4 linked regions of the Drosophila melanogaster genome follow. Changing the gene in region 2 together with the main gene of any one other region gives a genetic interaction. Each region holds a gene or a part of one and is shown on either strand. Other genes may lie near its edges. The genes, in order: RpS17, emc, l(1)sc and E(spl)mbeta-HLH.

Region 1 (3,199 bases), 8.7 Mb from region 2:
GAATAATATTGCAATTCCAGAACGGGTTGTTGTTATCATATCTATAAAACACCACGCCTAAGCAAAAAAACATTCCAAATACAAGCAAATCATAAAATACACATGCAGCGGTGGGTGTACGTGCAAGTGGGGAATACCTCGTCTCAATTGTGAAATAAGCTGGAGAATTGGATGTGGAGTCCCTAGAGATGCTGTTTCCAGTTCCCTGGTCGTTATCACAGTTGATTGGAGGATTTGCAGCCTCGTTGGGGCTGGACACCATGCTGAGCGAGACCACAGTGGGCGGCTGGACTTGGACGAGCCTCTGGTTCTCGAACTGGTATTCCAGCGTGAAGCAGATGTCATCCAGATTGAACACCTGGGCGGTGATATCGCTCAGACTGGCTATCAGCGGAACTTCAGAGTGGCTGGAGCTGAGATTCTCGGTGGTATGGTGATATGTGATGGGTATGACCGTGATGGGCAATGGTGTTAGTTGATCCGCAAGCGAAAAAGCGTTGTCCGCTGCCGCAGATACAACAACTTGTGAATGGCCATGAGTTTGAGATGCAGTGAGTTGATCCTGGGCACCGAATAGGTCGCCATATGTCGCCTGGGCGTCCCCCGTATCAAGGGTGAGGCCCAGATTAAGCACCTGTTGCTCGCCACTTGTGGATTCCGCCGTCTGGCTGCCGTAGATGCTGTAGTTGTCCCCATGGATGATGCCCAGCCCGTCGGCCTCCAATTTCGGTTCGAGCAACTGAGCTAGTGGCCTGTCGAAGTCCAGGGAACCAGAGGAGGAGCAATTGGATGTGACGGGCGGGGAGCCGGAAAGCGAATTGCGCGACGAGTTGGTATCATAATCCCGGCTGTCTGATAACGAATTTCCATGACTATTAGCGGTAGTCTTCCACTCGCTGTGGAAGTAGTGTTGTTGTTGTTGCTGGTGTTGTTTCTCTTGGTCGTTCATGTCGTATTATTTGTTATTTGCACACCCACGCACACTAAGACAAACGCTTGCTATATCGCATATGATATGCAGTTGTTATTCTCTTTCTCTGCTGCCACCGTGCAATATGTACATATATATAGATTGCTAAAGAAATTAGAGATCGCGAGATCGAAAAGCACACATCCGCGATCGAAAAGCACAAGCAACAACGATAAGAACCAGTGTGACCATGGGCGGAACGACAAAATATAACGCGGTTCTGGCTGAAATATACCATAAACTGGGATATACCGAAAATAGTGGAACGCAAAAGGGGACACCGCTTAGTGGGGACTCAAACCGCGTGTAGAGTTTTAGGCGGAGTCTCCAAGCGTGGTGTGAAATTGAAACTAAGGTGTTCTAATTTAAAGAATGAATAAATTTGCGAAACCAATATACTGCCGAATAGACTTATTTTTAAAGATTTTATATATTTTCTTATAAAAAAGAGTTTGTTTCATAACAAGTATTCTAGCCCATATTTAGGTACCATTGCACTGTACAATAGTCTCATTTAAAATGTTTAGTACAATAATGCGGTTTTTGTTAAATAATGTGTTCTAAGGTTCAAGTCCTCTCTTATTTCTATTTAATTCATCTACCTTCGAGATTTGCATAATTATGGTATATTTGCGGTATATTTTAGTATGTTTTTCACACAACCACCCTGGTCACACGGCATCCTTCTTTTTCTTTCGTTTCCGGCGAGGTATGTGCACAAATTTTGTTTCTCCACGTTTTTCTTAAAAATAATTGCTTATTTCTCATTTTAGCGGTGATTAAAATATCCATCGAGCAACATAATGGTACGTACCAACGAAAAACTGGCTGAACTCGAATCAAAAAGCGGTCAAACAAGCATAAAACGGCAACGACAGCCGCTTATCCCACGTGCATAGTGCCAATTTTGTTACCCCAAAAGCAATTATTTGTATCCGGCGTCTTGAAACCGTCCTTAATATCAATACCAAATAGCAATTCAAACGGAAACTTTAAAAGAAACCTAAACTAAAACCGAGTGAAGGCCTCTTACATTAAAAGTCCCCGAAAAATGCCGCAACTATCTCAGAAAATCAGCTGCAAATAACTATTTAGTTGTGACAGAAAACTATCGCAAAGATACAACAAAATGGATTGAACTATCGTGATACTAAACATTTTATCAACTACCACAGGGTCGCGTACGAACCAAGACGGTGAAGAAGGCCGCTAAGGTCATCATCGAGAAGTACTACACTCGCCTGACGTTGGACTTCCACACCAACAAGCGCATCTGCGAGGAGGTGGCCATCATTCCCACCAAGCCCCTGCGCAACAAGATTGCCGGGTAAGTGCCGCTCAAATCTCGTTAGTGAGTGGATCTATAATCCCCAAATTCCTTTCCAGCTATGTCACCCATTTGATGGGCCGCCTGCGTCACTCCCAGGTGCGTGGTATCTCCATCAAGTTGCAGGAGGAGGAGCGTGAGCGTCGTGACAACTACGTCCCGGCCGTCTCCGCTCTGGAGCAGGACATCATCGAGGTCGACGCCGACACCAAGGAGATGTTGAAGCTTCTGGACTTCCACAACATCCGTGGCCTGCAGCTCACCCAGCCCAACACCAACAACTTTGGTCGTCGCAACTAAGATTTGTATAGCGCGTAGATGATGATGTTCTGATTTGCATGGGATCACAATAAATTTGTGTGAAGTGCATTTAAAGTGTATGTTTTTGTGTTTCAATTAATTATGCGTATTCGATTGAAAAATATCCAAAGTGAACATCGTTTCCAAAGTGGCTCACCAGGCAGGAAACTCGATCTAAATTCAAGAACCCCAAGTCTGTGTTCCGTTTATCATCTTTATTCGCATTCGAATGGAAAATACTGTAGACATGCACATATTTGTAAATATGTTTATATTCAATCCATAAATATATGGGTTCGTTTTTACACAGACGATATATAAAAGATATTCTACGAGTGCACAATATTTAAATCTAATCGTGTACGCTGATGCCAGTATATATAATTATTTGTTATGTATATGATGGGTGGTAGCTATACGTATGATTGTTCCCTCCGGTTCAGGAAGATGCTGATGTAATGGGCGACGCAGCCTGATCCTGCTGGGGTCTTCGCACCGGATTACGCAAGACCAGCTCGGAATCCTCCGAAATGATGGGCAGCGCGTGTGCCCAGTGGTAGTTGATCAGATGGCTAATGCTGTCGAAGATGCGATCTTTGGTT
Region 2 (6,181 bases):
CCGCTCATTTTCAATGAAAATTTCCACAATTTCCTCAATGGATCGTCGTCGACCCATCATGTGTGTGAAATACAATCGTGGATTTCTTGCCCAGAAACCCTGCAACTTCTTCGGTGCAATGGAGTGGGAGAGAAGTCGAGGCGCCTCGAACTCTTATGTGTGTTCAAGATGTCGTGGACTCAAATTAAGATAAGATGCAGATAAGCCGTGCATTTCGATTTAGCCGTTTGAAAACTCGTTAATAAGAATTTGGTCAATCCACTGATAACGACTAGTTTTCCATTGAACGGAGGCGCATAACGCTTATCTTTGTTAGGAATAAATATGACAAATTGAACGACTACCGTTTAATCGTTTGTCTATATACGAAAACTTAACAGGATTGTTCGAGCTATCAGTTTATTTGAATAGTTATTGTTAATGAAAACTACTACTAACTAGCCCAATATAATATATTATGAATATTTACTCTTCTTATTTTCAAATGATTTAAAATTTTCACCATTCCACAGCGATTAAAATCTAATTTACCCATGCATATATTTAATATTCATTCTGTAATTAATCAAGCCCTTGTTGAACCACTCGCATTGTCTTTTTCGCCTTTTCGTGTTGATTGTGGAACCTCCTTATCCCACAAAACACTTTTCATTCATTTTCATGCTCATTCACAAAACATGAGAAAAAAAAAAGAAAAACAAACATTGCAGTCGTGAGAGGAAAATTATTGAGCGAGAGTTACTGTTCGTGTTTTCTCATTTTCAGCTGAGAAAAGCAGCCGACCAATCACAAAACCATTTCCCCTTTACAAAAAACCGATCATTTTGCATCTCGTGGAGAGTATTCAGATTTGTTTGGAGAGTTTCGGAGAGGAACTCGTTAAGCCGGGTCTACAAAGGTGAGTATCTGTGGACCGTGGTGGAGTCAGGGGAAATGTTAGTGCTTTAAAAAGTGTCTACTATGTGTGGAATTTGGATTGTATCTTGTGGATTGGATATTGTGGTAAGGTTGAGTTTCATTTGGTATCTCGGGTAGAAGTCAATGAGGTGGATGTTCGGGCACACAGGCTGTAGAACTTGTTGGATATTTTGTCAAGAACTGAAAGTATCCGAAAGGATTAATTCATAGCATATATACCTCAGTTGTATTTTGAATTATTTTAAATTAGTTTTCTCAGAATTCATGGGCTTCACACTACACATCTTCCCCTCTTAAGATCTCAGGCTTAAATTCGTACTCCATTCTCATTGTGGATTTGAAATGATGACTGTGAAGACCAAACACGAAGGGCTACCCCTTAATTCCACATTCTTGTCCACCAAAGCAGACCTCTCCGCAACTCACCTCTTAGGAACTCTCCTAAATTCCGGTTTCAAGTTGTGGTCCAAGTTCCACATGGACACCAATGAGACACATTCCCCAGTCTCCACTCTCCAACCAAGTACATATCTCTCTCCAGCCGAACGAACCCGAGAGCGAAGACTCCGCCTATCGGATTCGGAAATGCCCGTTCGGGGGGTATAAAAGCGGGCGCTCTGAGCGAGCACCACTCATTCGTTGTCTGACCGCTCGCAGCAAAAGATATAGAAATCGAGAACGTAAACGCAGAAAACACGCTGGATTAAAGTGTTTCGTTTCGAACATCGACAGAGTGAGAAAACAAAGTGAAGTGAGCGCACAAAGCCGAAATCAAATCAAATTGAAAAGCCAGTCAAGAGCAATCTTTAACTGAACCTCGCAAGTAATCCGGTACGACCGTGTAACAACCGCCAAGATTCTACTCAAGGAGCGTAAAGCAATCATCTCCAGAATGAAGTCCCTGACGGCCGTCTGCCAGACAGGTGCCTCCGGAATGCCGGCCTTGAATGCCAGCGGGCGCATCCAGCGCCATCCCACGCACCGCGGCGACGGGGAGAACGCCGAGATGAAGATGTATCTGTCCAAACTGAAGGACCTCGTTCCGTTCATGCCCAAGAACAGGAAGCTCACCAAGCTGGAGATCATCCAGCACGTCATCGACTACATCTGCGACCTGCAGACCGAGCTGGAGACGCACCCCGAGATGGGCAACTTCGATGCGGCAGCCGCTCTGACGGCGGTGAACGGACTCCACGAGGACGAGGACAGCGACATGGAGGATGCGGATGCCGAGGCAGAAGCGGAAGTCGATCCAGATATCCTCGCCCAGCGCCTGAATGCCGAGCAGCCGGCGAAAGTCTCTAGTCCCGCCGCCCGTCTCCCGCTTACCGATCGCCAAACGCCCAACACTCTTGTGGCGCCCGCCCATCCGCAGCAGCATCAGCAGCAGCAGCAACTGCAACTGCAGCAGCAACAACTGCAATCACAGCAGCAACTGTCCAACAGTTTAGCAACGGTGAGTTAACAAACAAATTGCTAGGGTAGTGAAAAACCCAAATAGGAAGTGGGCAGATGAGCACAGCTCAGGTCGAAATATTAGGAGAAATAATAAGGTTATGGAATATTTAAAGTAGTTATTTTTGAGAAAATAACATAGTTAAACATTTAAAGTACATGACTTCACTGGTTTCAACTAGACAATAAAGCGATTAATTGCTAAAGTTACGATAAGGAAGTGCGAATATCGCAAAGTTTGCGATCCACCGATTTTCGCTATTTCCTTGAGTGCCATTATTTTGACCGCAGCTGTTTGGCATTTGCATTGCAAATTTAGGAGACAATTGAGTGTCAAACTGTTTGGCTTTACTTGTTTTTGTTTCGCGAGTGACCTCATTCATAAGGCGATTGACGAATGTTTGCGTGAATGTTGTTTTTTTTCATTTTGTTTTATTTTTTTTTAACGGAAGGACGAGGCGCGTTTCGTTTCGTTGGCGAGTTTTGGGAAATTTCTTTATTGGGCGGGTGGCTTTAGACAACGCGGCCTGCCCGATTTTGTCGTACCCTCTTCTTCGCCGCACAGATTCATTTCGTTTTTATAGACATTTCACAGACCGTCTCTGTGCGATTGTATGCGTTGCGGTTGTTGTCGCCATCGTTTCTTTCTTTTGTGTGTTGCCTATACGTAGCTGTTAATTTTTTCTCGCGGCCTTTTTCTGTTGTTGTGATGTTTTAAATGAACACCTGCAGATACTTAAATTTATTTCACACACACTCGCACACACACATACTCACTCACTCACACGCACTTGCGAGCTTGAAAACGGAATTTGGAATTGGGGAATCATCAGTCTTCGTATTTTATTTCATTTGGGTTTATTTTTTGGCTCACTTCATTAGCTCTCAGCTTCGTTACTTCTTCGTTTTTGGACTTTCGGTTATTAATGATGCTGGCGAAAAAATTCGTTTGAGATCTACAATATGTTCGTAAAAACAGGTTCGAAAAAGCTTTTTTTTCAATGGGTTTCTCAAACAAATGATCGACTGGGTGGCCCGGCAAGTGTTATTAATTTTCGATCTCTGATTGTTGATTAATTGTGAAGGTGGAAACCCTTCTTCGAAATTCAGAAAGATGGTTTTGAAATCGTGCCTTCGTCATTCCTGGCTATGAGTTACTTCTTAAATTTTTGATTAATTAACTGTGGGTCTTTAGCTCAGTCCGCTTTGCGTAGGTCTCTTTTCTCTCATTTTGGGTGCGTAATTTTTGTGTTTTTGTTGCAAAACATCTGCAACCCACAAACATATATACTTTTTGTGTTTGTATGATGTGTCACCGCCGCAACAACAACAACAAGCCAACAACAATCCGAGAATTCTTTCGAAAACACGCACACACACACACACAGAAGAACACATGGGGGCACTCAGAAAACTGTAAAAAGAAATGCACGTGTTCAAAATGTTCTCTCTGTGGGTTGTTTTCAGTTGTTTTTGCTGTTTCTTTTTCGATTTTTTTTTCGCGCAGCTGTGCGCCAGTCGCCAGTCGGTCGCTTTCTACATTGTGTTCCCCCCACGGATCCTGCCCCCCCCCCTCCACAACCGCCCCCTCGCAGTAAGAGAGCAGAAGACGGAGGAGAAGAGAGCGCAAGACACTGGGGGAAAAACTGCGTGATTTCAACGTTTTGCTGATTTTCAACTGGGTATACTTGTGCAAGCAAGCTACCTGAGATGTTATTTTAAAACATGTTGTATCTTCTAATGCACATGTTCTTAGTGCAAAACATTTTTCCCAGTGCCAAAGAACTCAAATAAGTGCAAAACAAAAGCTCAATGACAGCGCGTTTGATTTTCTTGGCGCCTCTTTATTGCCCCATCCCCTCCACTCATCGAAATCAGCCTCTCGGCGAGTGTCCCAAACACAAACAAAACAAACAAATCAGTGGAACAGGGAACTAATTGATAACATAGAATGGCGAAATAATACAGCTTATAAACTAATTATTGCATTTCAATCGCACATTAATAATGTACTAATTTGAATCTTCCCGCTTCTCTCTTTTTAGCCACAGAATGCGGAGAAAGACAGCAGACAGTCGTAAGCGTGGAAACGCCCAGCCGGGAAAACCCACGGAACCTATAAGCCTATTAACTAAATGCATAATGAAAGTACAGTCAAAACTCCACTCGCAACCTTCGTGTGAAGATCTCCGCATAAGATAACGTGTGAAACTCTCAAGAAAACCACAGCCCAGGCGCATCTCTTCAACGCTCCTTTTCCCGGGAAACGGAAAACCCGGGAAAACGAGACCTCGCTTTTGGCTCCAACAGAGTTTAGTTTAAACATTTAATAACAAGAATACAACAACACAAAACCTAGCATTAGAGCAGCGTAAGCAAGTACACATTATGATTATTAATTAAACATTACAACTAGGATGATGGCGCTTAAGAATGAACGGAAGAAAGAAAACTTGGCAAAGCTTTAAACAATTTAATTTTCCTTTAACGCTTGAAATTACACTGAAGCATATATTTTTGTTTTCCTAATTTTAGTTTTGTTTTGGTTTAAACAACGCAAGAAAAAATGTTACTAATGCAAAGCAAACAGAGATCAGCAATAAAAAAAAATTATAAAAATGCACAGGCACCAAACTGGAATTACGTTGAATCACCGTTTCCTGCATTACGATTATATGATTTCAATCCAAATGATTTTCCTATTAATTTTAATCAATGAAGAGTTTTCCTATTATTGATTAGCCACAGCCAATAAACAACAAGAACAACCAACTCAGCAGCACACACACATTCAAATTCATTAATTTATATCGAGAGAGTACGTTTAGAGTTTAAGTTCGAGAAAGTTCATTTCCAGGCACTAATTTTCACTCACACCACTCACATAGAAAAACACAAACACCTCATTTTGTAGTTTTCCGAGTCCCTTGGATCGTTTTCCTCTTTTTTAATCGAAATAACGCATAATGCATAATAATTATTACCAGATATACACTAAAACCTATAAATATATATTAATATATGTTCTGTGATCTGTAGCATACTTTGTACAAAGTGTTTTTTTTAGCATAATTATGCGATTTTAATTATGATCCGCAATCGAAATTACACATTTTTGTTCTCATTTCGATGGTAAAAACACTCTATCATGATGTAAAAAAAAAAAACAAAAGAAAACATTTGATGATGTTGCGAAAAAATATATTATCTAAAACATAAAGAAAAACAAACACTAGCTCTTAATAAATTGCAAAAATTTAAAAAACATTAAAAATCGAATATGTCAATGGATTTCCGTTGGGAGCAGGGGATTAAGAAACTACCAGATCTTACCGCAAAAGTCGGTAACTACCTGCAGACAACGACAACAAGTAGCCGGGGGAGGAAAACTCAGCTGGATGGCCATTTTCACATGTAAACAAGTGCAACGAATTACCAGAACAATGAGGTGGATGATATTATTCTCGGAGTTTCATGGGCGAGCGAGTTTTCTCACGCAGCCGCCGCCTTTGTCATTAGGGGTTTGGTTTTCCCATTTTCCATTTCCCAGGTAAAACGGCCGTAGGGTCCGTTGAAAACTCGACCTGCACACGTGTGCGAATTGCGGACGGAAAATTTCCGTTGAGAAAATTTCCTTCACTGTGGCCTGGCCGCTTTTCCTTTTATTTCACGTACGAACCACTTGGGTGTGGATTTAGTTTTGGATTTTCTGCGCTACCCGCAGCTGCCTGCCCACCCACTTCCACTCACACTCACACTCCCACGGCCCACCGCCCACTGTCTCCCTCTCTTTCCCGCTATCTGGCGG
Region 3 (3,638 bases), on a different chromosome or scaffold from region 2:
GTACACTAGCTGATTGGAAACCTGGGAAACCATGAACCTGACAACCCTGGCCAGTTGTTCACTATTTTATATTTACTGCGTCCCCCAAAAACGAAACTGGGATCAACACTATTCTGATCTCATGCGGATTAATTAATCACTGAACATTATAGGGCATGGTGTCCGAGGCTTATGAAATTGAAACCAAAACCTTTTTTACTTTCCTATTTTTTGGTGGGTGTGTTTGGAGCATATTAAAAGAGTATTTGAAAAGGGTTTGCTTCGAACCAAGAGAAATACAAAGGTGATGACGCAAAGATTTTTATTCTAGATATTATAAATGCATTAGAAAACGAATTCGGTAGCAACTTTTAAAAACCAATTATTAGGTAAATGGTGTTTTTTTTTTTTTTTTTTTTTTGCTTTATTATGATTTTCAGCGTTCATTCTTGTGGGATCAATTTCCTCTAATTTTCTGATCTCCTTTAGGGCAGCTGCTTATGGCTTTTTTTAAGATTTTATGCATTTATGGGAGCAATCTCGTAACTCGACTTATCCGTCTTCGGTAACGGTATTGCCTTCCCATTGCAACAAAGTTGCAAGTTGCGAATCCAGAAATTTGTTTCAGATTCAGCTCCTTACAGATTTATGAATGCTTAATTTAATTGCAGGGGGATTGTTGGTAAACGGAATAACTTTACTTTCTTGGACTGGGCATAATAAGTCACAACCCTACAGCAAGCAGCAAATAAATAAAGACATAACATTTTTTAAAGCTTTTTGAAATACTAATTTGCTAGTCAAATAACATTTAAAGACCTTTTTTAATGCTTTTCGACATACTAATTTGATAATTTAGAACTAAACCTGATTATGAGTGATGTCTTGATATTAAAGCAACACAAATGCTTCATGCTTTAAAATCAAAACTGCCATTCGATTTTTAGAAGTATTCCACGAAATAATTATCTTTAAAAGAAAATATTTATTCAATAATGCAACACTATCAAAATATTTTCCCAAAAAAATATTTTAAATTGCATCGTAGCCTTAATACGATTTAATGAGTTATGCAAATTAATTGAATTCAGTTTTTGTTTGTTCATACAAGACATATATTAACCAGTCAGAAATATTACATTTTTTGTCGAGTGCACAGCCCAAATTTAGATCGCTTTCTTGTATCACAAGCGTTTGATGAAAGGGTAAGAGTGTTTCGACTGCAACTTTGATCCCAACTGCTGTCAATATTCAATGCCTTTGTGATGGTTTCGTTTTTATTTGTCTGGCCGTCCCCTTACTTATTATAGTACGCTTGGTATTCATGATACAGCACACACTTGTGGGATTTTGTCTGCGCCGCTCTGCGATGTTATGTATCATTGTTTTGAAGCTTATGCTAATGCACCGGACTGATCGGAAGCACGTGTCAAATGCAGATGGGTCAGAAAAAATATTAATGAAGGTTCATAACATTACAGGATATAAAAGTGGATACGCAGTTTTAAAGACAGTGAAAGTCCCACGACATGGTCTTTTAAGTTTGTTTCTTTTGCCTTCGCATCATTTTCTTTCATTTGATGGATCACATTTTATATCAAATTCCCTTCCAAGATCTCACTCTCCTTTATTTTTCGCTTTCAATGCAAACGACATTCGACAAAAGTGGAAGTGCATTCAAAATCTTTTTTTTTAGCCATGACAAGGATCTTGCAGATCTGAGATTTAAAATTTTCCCAAAAGGAAAAAATGCATTATGTAGACGGACACAAAGGACAAAGAGTGTGTGGGAGAGGGAAAAGGATGGGTAGGTAGGCACACAGAGACTGAGTAGGAATAGAGGCACCCACCACAGAAAAAGAACCCCTAGAAAGAGAGGAAAAATGTACGATCACTTGTGCAAAGGACTTAGGTCCCGGTTTTTCGAGGGCAGGTAGCCAGGATCCGACCCCGTACCAACCCCTGTAGCTCCTCTGCCGAAGTCGCTGCCTCTGTCGCGGCGCGTTTCCCTCTGCCACTGCCGGGTATTTAAAGCCCTAGATCAGAACAGCAATTATCATTGCGGAATCTGATTCCACACAGTCAACATCTGTAAACTAAATCTTAGAAAACTCTCGCAAGGATTACCATGACGAGCATTTGCAGCAGCAAATTCCAGCAGCAGCATTACCAGCTGACCAACAGTAACATTTTCTTGCTGCAACATCAGCATCACCATCAAACGCAGCAGCACCAGTTGATTGCTCCGAAAATACCTTTGGGTACCAGCCAACTGCAGAATATGCAGCAGAGTCAACAGTCCAATGTTGGACCCATGTTGTCCTCCCAGAAGAAGAAGTTCAACTACAATAACATGCCCTATGGCGAGCAATTGCCATCGGTAGCCAGACGAAATGCCCGTGAACGCAATCGCGTGAAGCAGGTGAACAATGGATTCGTCAATCTCCGCCAGCATTTGCCTCAAACTGTGGTAAACTCGCTGTCCAATGGAGGACGTGGTAGCAGCAAGAAGTTATCCAAGGTGGACACACTGCGAATCGCCGTTGAATATATTCGAGGACTACAGGACATGCTTGATGATGGCACTGCTTCATCAACTCGTCACATCTACAATTCCGCCGATGAAAGTAGCAACGATGGCAGCAGCTATAACGATTACAACGATAGTTTGGACAGTTCGCAACAGTTCTTGACGGGAGCCACCCAGTCTGCCCAATCCCACTCGTACCACTCCGCCTCGCCCACGCCGTCGTACTCCGGATCCGAGATTTCCGGAGGTGGCTATATCAAACAGGAACTACAAGAGCAGGACCTCAAATTCGACTCCTTTGATAGCTTCAGTGACGAGCAGCCAGATGACGAGGAGCTACTCGATTATATTTCATCTTGGCAAGAGCAGTGAAGGGGTCTTACTAAAAGTCCCAAACAAACAAATATTGTACAAACTGTAAATACCCTAAATTGTTGCCTTAGTGAGTGTAAAACCAAGTCTCAAATTTCACATTAGCCTCTAAGTTACCCCATATTTTTTTTTATTATATTTTAACGCAATGGAAGACATATTTTTTTCATAGTTATAAGTTTGTTATAAGCATGGAAGACACTAAACTAACTACTTTTAAGCCAAAATAAAAACATATTGATAAATTTAATTCCAAATGTTTTTTACTGAAATCACTTACTCGTAAATATATTCAGATCGTCATGTAGGGTAATTACAACGAGTTCTCGTTCTCATACCAGCATCAGAGCCAAAAAGGTTTTTAAACAATCTGCATTTTGAAGCATTGCTTTGACTATATATATGTTATGATATTCGTTTTTAATTTATGTATTTTTATATTATTATTATTATTTTTTAGCTTAGCTGTTTTGGCCTCAGGCTTAATAATGGTACTAGCGATAGAAATAATAATTTCACAAAAAAGTTACCCAATTTATTATTTATATTCAATTACTTTTGGAGCGTGGACATGACTCACTCAAAATTCGTAACCAACATAGAGTTAAGCACCTGACAGGAAACAACAGCGAATATTTTCATGATTGGTTCCCTAACGAGCTACAATTCGGCCGGGAATTGTTAATGGCGCGTAAATAGCCCGGAAATAGGCAGTCACGCCTGAGAGGATGAAATTGTCCTAGTCCAAGGATCAGTA
Region 4 (3,473 bases), on a different chromosome or scaffold from region 2:
ATGATTCGAGTTACGACAGTGATTCAGTTGTTAAGCTAGAAAAGTCTTTCAGTGGCGTTTAAAGGCATTTATAGCTACTACATGAAAATTGGAACTTCCGAATTACAATTGGAGCCCCTATACTATTTAGCTTTTAATTTAAGCTAGTTGAATGAATGGATTATATAAATGGATTATATTGTTATTACAAAATATTTCTTAATTTAACGTGTTATCTACAATTGTAGCTAAATTGTTTTTAAAAATCTTTAAATTTTTGAAATATTTTTTCCATATTTTTTATAGTATTGTTTCTTTAATAATCCAATATGAATTACTTCTTAATTGGTTGTTGCAAATATCATGCGACTAACTCACCCCAAAAATGCAACCACCACCCTCTGACGAACAGTTTGACACACTGCCGACCCATAAAATCCAATTAAGCATTTCCGGAGCATTCAGCTTTTTGACATCAACAGTTTAAGTGTCCCGGTCCAGCGGACAAAACGTTTCGGTTAGATAAGTTGTTAGCCGTTTGTGTCTTGGCCCGTTTATCACCGTTGCTGCTTTGTTTCGGCTAACTGTAGCTCATTTCGAATGCGTCGAGGGGCAATCTTAATTTGTCTTATTTGAGTTTGAATTTATATACACATAGTGATCGAGTAGCTGCCGTCTCGGAGCTTTTGTTATTCCTTATTTGTGTGCCAATGAGCCGGGCTCGTGTCATTTTCAATGAACGCCAGCGAGCGTCATCGTCGCCGGCACTTCTAATTAAATGTTGAGAAACCCGAGCTTAGGATCCGAGATGTGTCAGATGCCGGCGGATGGAGATCTAGCATCTCAAGCTGATGAATCACGACGATATAGCGTTAAAAATAAATACCGAATGTGCTAAATGTGTATACATACATATACATATATCGCGTATAGCCCACGAGCCATAACATTTATAGCGTGTGCTGGCAACAGCCATTACGATTGTAACCGACTTTCGCGCACACGTCGACTTCGATCGGTTCCCAGCCCGAAGTCGCTATGGTAATTGTCTACAAATAGAAGCGAGCGACGACCCAAGATCCCCAAGCGAACCCAAAACCCCCAACCGAACTGCAGCTGATCCCCAAACGATCCCCAACCGACAATCAAGAATAATCATGTAAACGAAAAGCGTAATGCTCGTCCCACGAAACCCACGACTACCACGATCCAATCAATGATCCATAAAGCGCTAACAAAAAAGCAAGAAACAGAAACACTGGCCCGTCTCGGGTTGGCCCGATGACGATTCCACAATTATCAGCGTGCCATAAGCTACTGCAAAAGGGTGAAGGCACATGGCAAGACTTGAGACCGAACCGAACCGAACCCAACCGCACCGAATTGAAGCCCAAAAGACCGGACCCCGACCATAGTCGACCATACAAATGAATTGAAATGCAAACATCTTGTTATGGATGGAAGGCATGTGCTCGCCTCGCATCGTATCTGGGATCCCAAGTCGCACAGACCTCTTAAAGGCGGCCCGTCCATCCGTCCGTCCGCTCAAGAAAGACGGTGGACGGAAAGACGAGGGACGAGGGATCGTACAAGACCCCAAGCATGCACAATCAGAAGAAGTCAGGCCAGCCGTCGTCATCGTCGTCGTCGTGGAAATCGGCTGCGAAACAGTTTCCCACGGTATAACAATCACAGCACATACATAAGGAGGGAGGGAGAGAGAGCGAGAAGGCGCAGCCCGCTCAAGTCATTTTATTGCCCTCACATATACAGGCAAAAGTATACAAAAAAACAGAAGCCACCACCACCACTACCACAACCAAGCACCACCAAGCCATCTGAAACCACCGCTGGCAACAGCAGCAGGCCGCGCACGAGGCAAAATGAGTGTCCCGCTCGCACTCACTGTCCAGTTCCCAGGGCGGCAGAGGCTATATAAAGCCGATCCCAGAGCCAGCCGACTCATTCAAAGCTCCGACTTCGTTGCGTGCACACAGAGTCTCCGAGTCCGAATCTAGTGGAACGTTGCGACTGTGGATTACGCGAGTTTACTTTACCCCCAATAAAAAAAAAACAAAACCAAACTACAACAAAATGGTTCTGGAAATGGAGATGTCCAAGACCTATCAGTACCGCAAGGTGATGAAGCCCATGCTGGAGCGTAAGCGCCGTGCCAGGATTAACAAGTGCCTGGACGAGCTCAAGGACATCATGGTGGAGTGCCTGACCCAGGAGGGCGAGCACATCACCCGGCTGGAGAAGGCCGACATCCTGGAGCTGACCGTGGAGCACATGAAGAAGCTGCGTGCCCAGAAGCAGCTGCGTCTGTCCAGCGTCACCGGTGGAGTGTCTCCGAGTGCCGATCCCAAGCTTAGCATCGCTGAGAGTTTCCGTGCTGGCTACGTTCATGCTGCCAATGAAGTGTCCAAAACCTTGGCCGCTGTACCCGGAGTGAGTGTGGATCTCGGCACCCAGCTGATGAGTCACCTTGGCCATCGTCTCAACTACCTGCAAGTGGTGGTTCCCTCGCTGCCCATTGGAGTGCCTCTTCAAGCTCCAGTAGAGGATCAAGCTATGGTCACTCCACCTCCCTCGGAATGCGACAGCTTGGAGAGCGGAGCCTGCAGCCCGGCGCCCAGCGAGGCCAGCTCCACCTCTGGCCCCATGTGGCGTCCCTGGTGATCAACTGGACTCCGGATGATATTCACCTGAATCGCCTTCAAGCGGAAGGCTTCTACAAATTTGTTGCCCCAAAGAGGTGCTGGACTTGAAACCGCACCGAACTCCTTGGAGATCATCAATTGCTGCCCAGGAATAGCTTTCCCAGCAGCCCAGCAGAGCCACCGATCATCTCTAGCAGAGCCTCAAATTTCGGCTATAGAGATGGCTGCTGCTCACTTCTTAAAGTCATAAAGAAATGAAAATAAATGAAATTCCAACTCAAGAATCTCTGCATTTACTTATTTCCCATAGAGCTGATTACTCAGACTTCCCAGACATTTAGTGGGCGTCCAACCGCAAACTAAAGCAACTAAAAAAAAGAAACCCCTTAAAACAAGAAACGAATTGGAGATAAACTCCGTGGTGAACCGAATCGCAGAGCCCACAGCCGGAAGTCGCTGAATATTTTCCCACACTCGGACTATCGTCTGGTCTCTCCGGCTTGGCCTCATTATGCCCCGAGAATTCGGATTGCGAGGGTATGCGGGGCTTTCAGGGGGCATACAACATACATACGTATATCTGCGGGAAGTTTTGCGCCGGCGCTGTCGCAATTAAATAATAAAATAAAGCAAAAAGTCAGTTCTAGGAAACGGCATTTATTATGAGGCCCGCCGAGTGTGAGAACCGCGGCTCCGCTGTCAATGGCTCAGCATTGTGGTCATTGTGTTTCGCTTTTTTTTTAAGATTTTGCTCTTTTTTAGTTTTTTTTTGTTCAGGCTTTGACAGCTTTAACTGCGCTTGACCGCTTGGCACATGCGCGGACGGACCGG

The links.
Region 1: of emc (region 2) and RpS17, changing one suppresses a phenotype caused by changing the other (phenotypic suppression), as found in Drosophila melanogaster (one study listed by BioGRID).
Region 3: of emc (region 2) and l(1)sc, changing one enhances a phenotype caused by changing the other (phenotypic enhancement), as found in Drosophila melanogaster (one study listed by BioGRID).
Region 4: of emc (region 2) and E(spl)mbeta-HLH, changing one enhances a phenotype caused by changing the other (phenotypic enhancement), as found in Drosophila melanogaster (one study listed by BioGRID).

What each region holds. Positions count from the first base shown.
Region 1 is NT_037436.4:9,428,272-9,431,470, reverse strand, and holds RpS17 (ribosomal protein S17), read left to right. Parts: upstream 1-1,649; 5' UTR 1,650-1,679; intron 1,680-1,743; 5' UTR 1,744-1,773; coding exon 1,774-1,776; intron 1,777-2,145; coding exon 2,146-2,297; intron 2,298-2,356; coding exon 2,357-2,597; 3' UTR 2,598-2,676; downstream 2,677-3,199. Other genes in the region: MTF-1 (metal response element-binding transcription Factor-1), read right to left, coding at 138-949; Shc (SHC-adaptor protein), read right to left, coding at 3,037-3,199.
Region 2 is NT_037436.4:747,854-754,034, forward strand, and holds emc (extra macrochaetae), read left to right. Parts: upstream 1-1,546; 5' UTR 1,547-1,810; coding exon 1,811-2,374; intron 2,375-4,418; coding exon 4,419-4,454; 3' UTR 4,455-5,639; downstream 5,640-6,181. UniProt on the Drosophila melanogaster protein: Participates in sensory organ patterning by antagonizing the neurogenic activity of the Achaete-scute complex (AS-C). It lacks a basic DNA-binding domain but is able to form heterodimers with other HLH proteins, thereby inhibiting DNA binding.
Region 3 is NC_004354.4:407,689-411,326, forward strand, and holds l(1)sc (lethal of scute), read left to right. Parts: upstream 1-2,032; 5' UTR 2,033-2,107; coding exon 2,108-2,881; 3' UTR 2,882-3,129; downstream 3,130-3,638. UniProt on the Drosophila melanogaster protein: AS-C proteins are involved in the determination of the neuronal precursors in the peripheral nervous system and the central nervous system.
Region 4 is NT_033777.3:26,004,494-26,007,966, reverse strand, and holds E(spl)mbeta-HLH (enhancer of split mbeta, helix-loop-helix), read left to right. Parts: upstream 1-1,943; 5' UTR 1,944-2,073; coding exon 2,074-2,661; 3' UTR 2,662-2,921; downstream 2,922-3,473.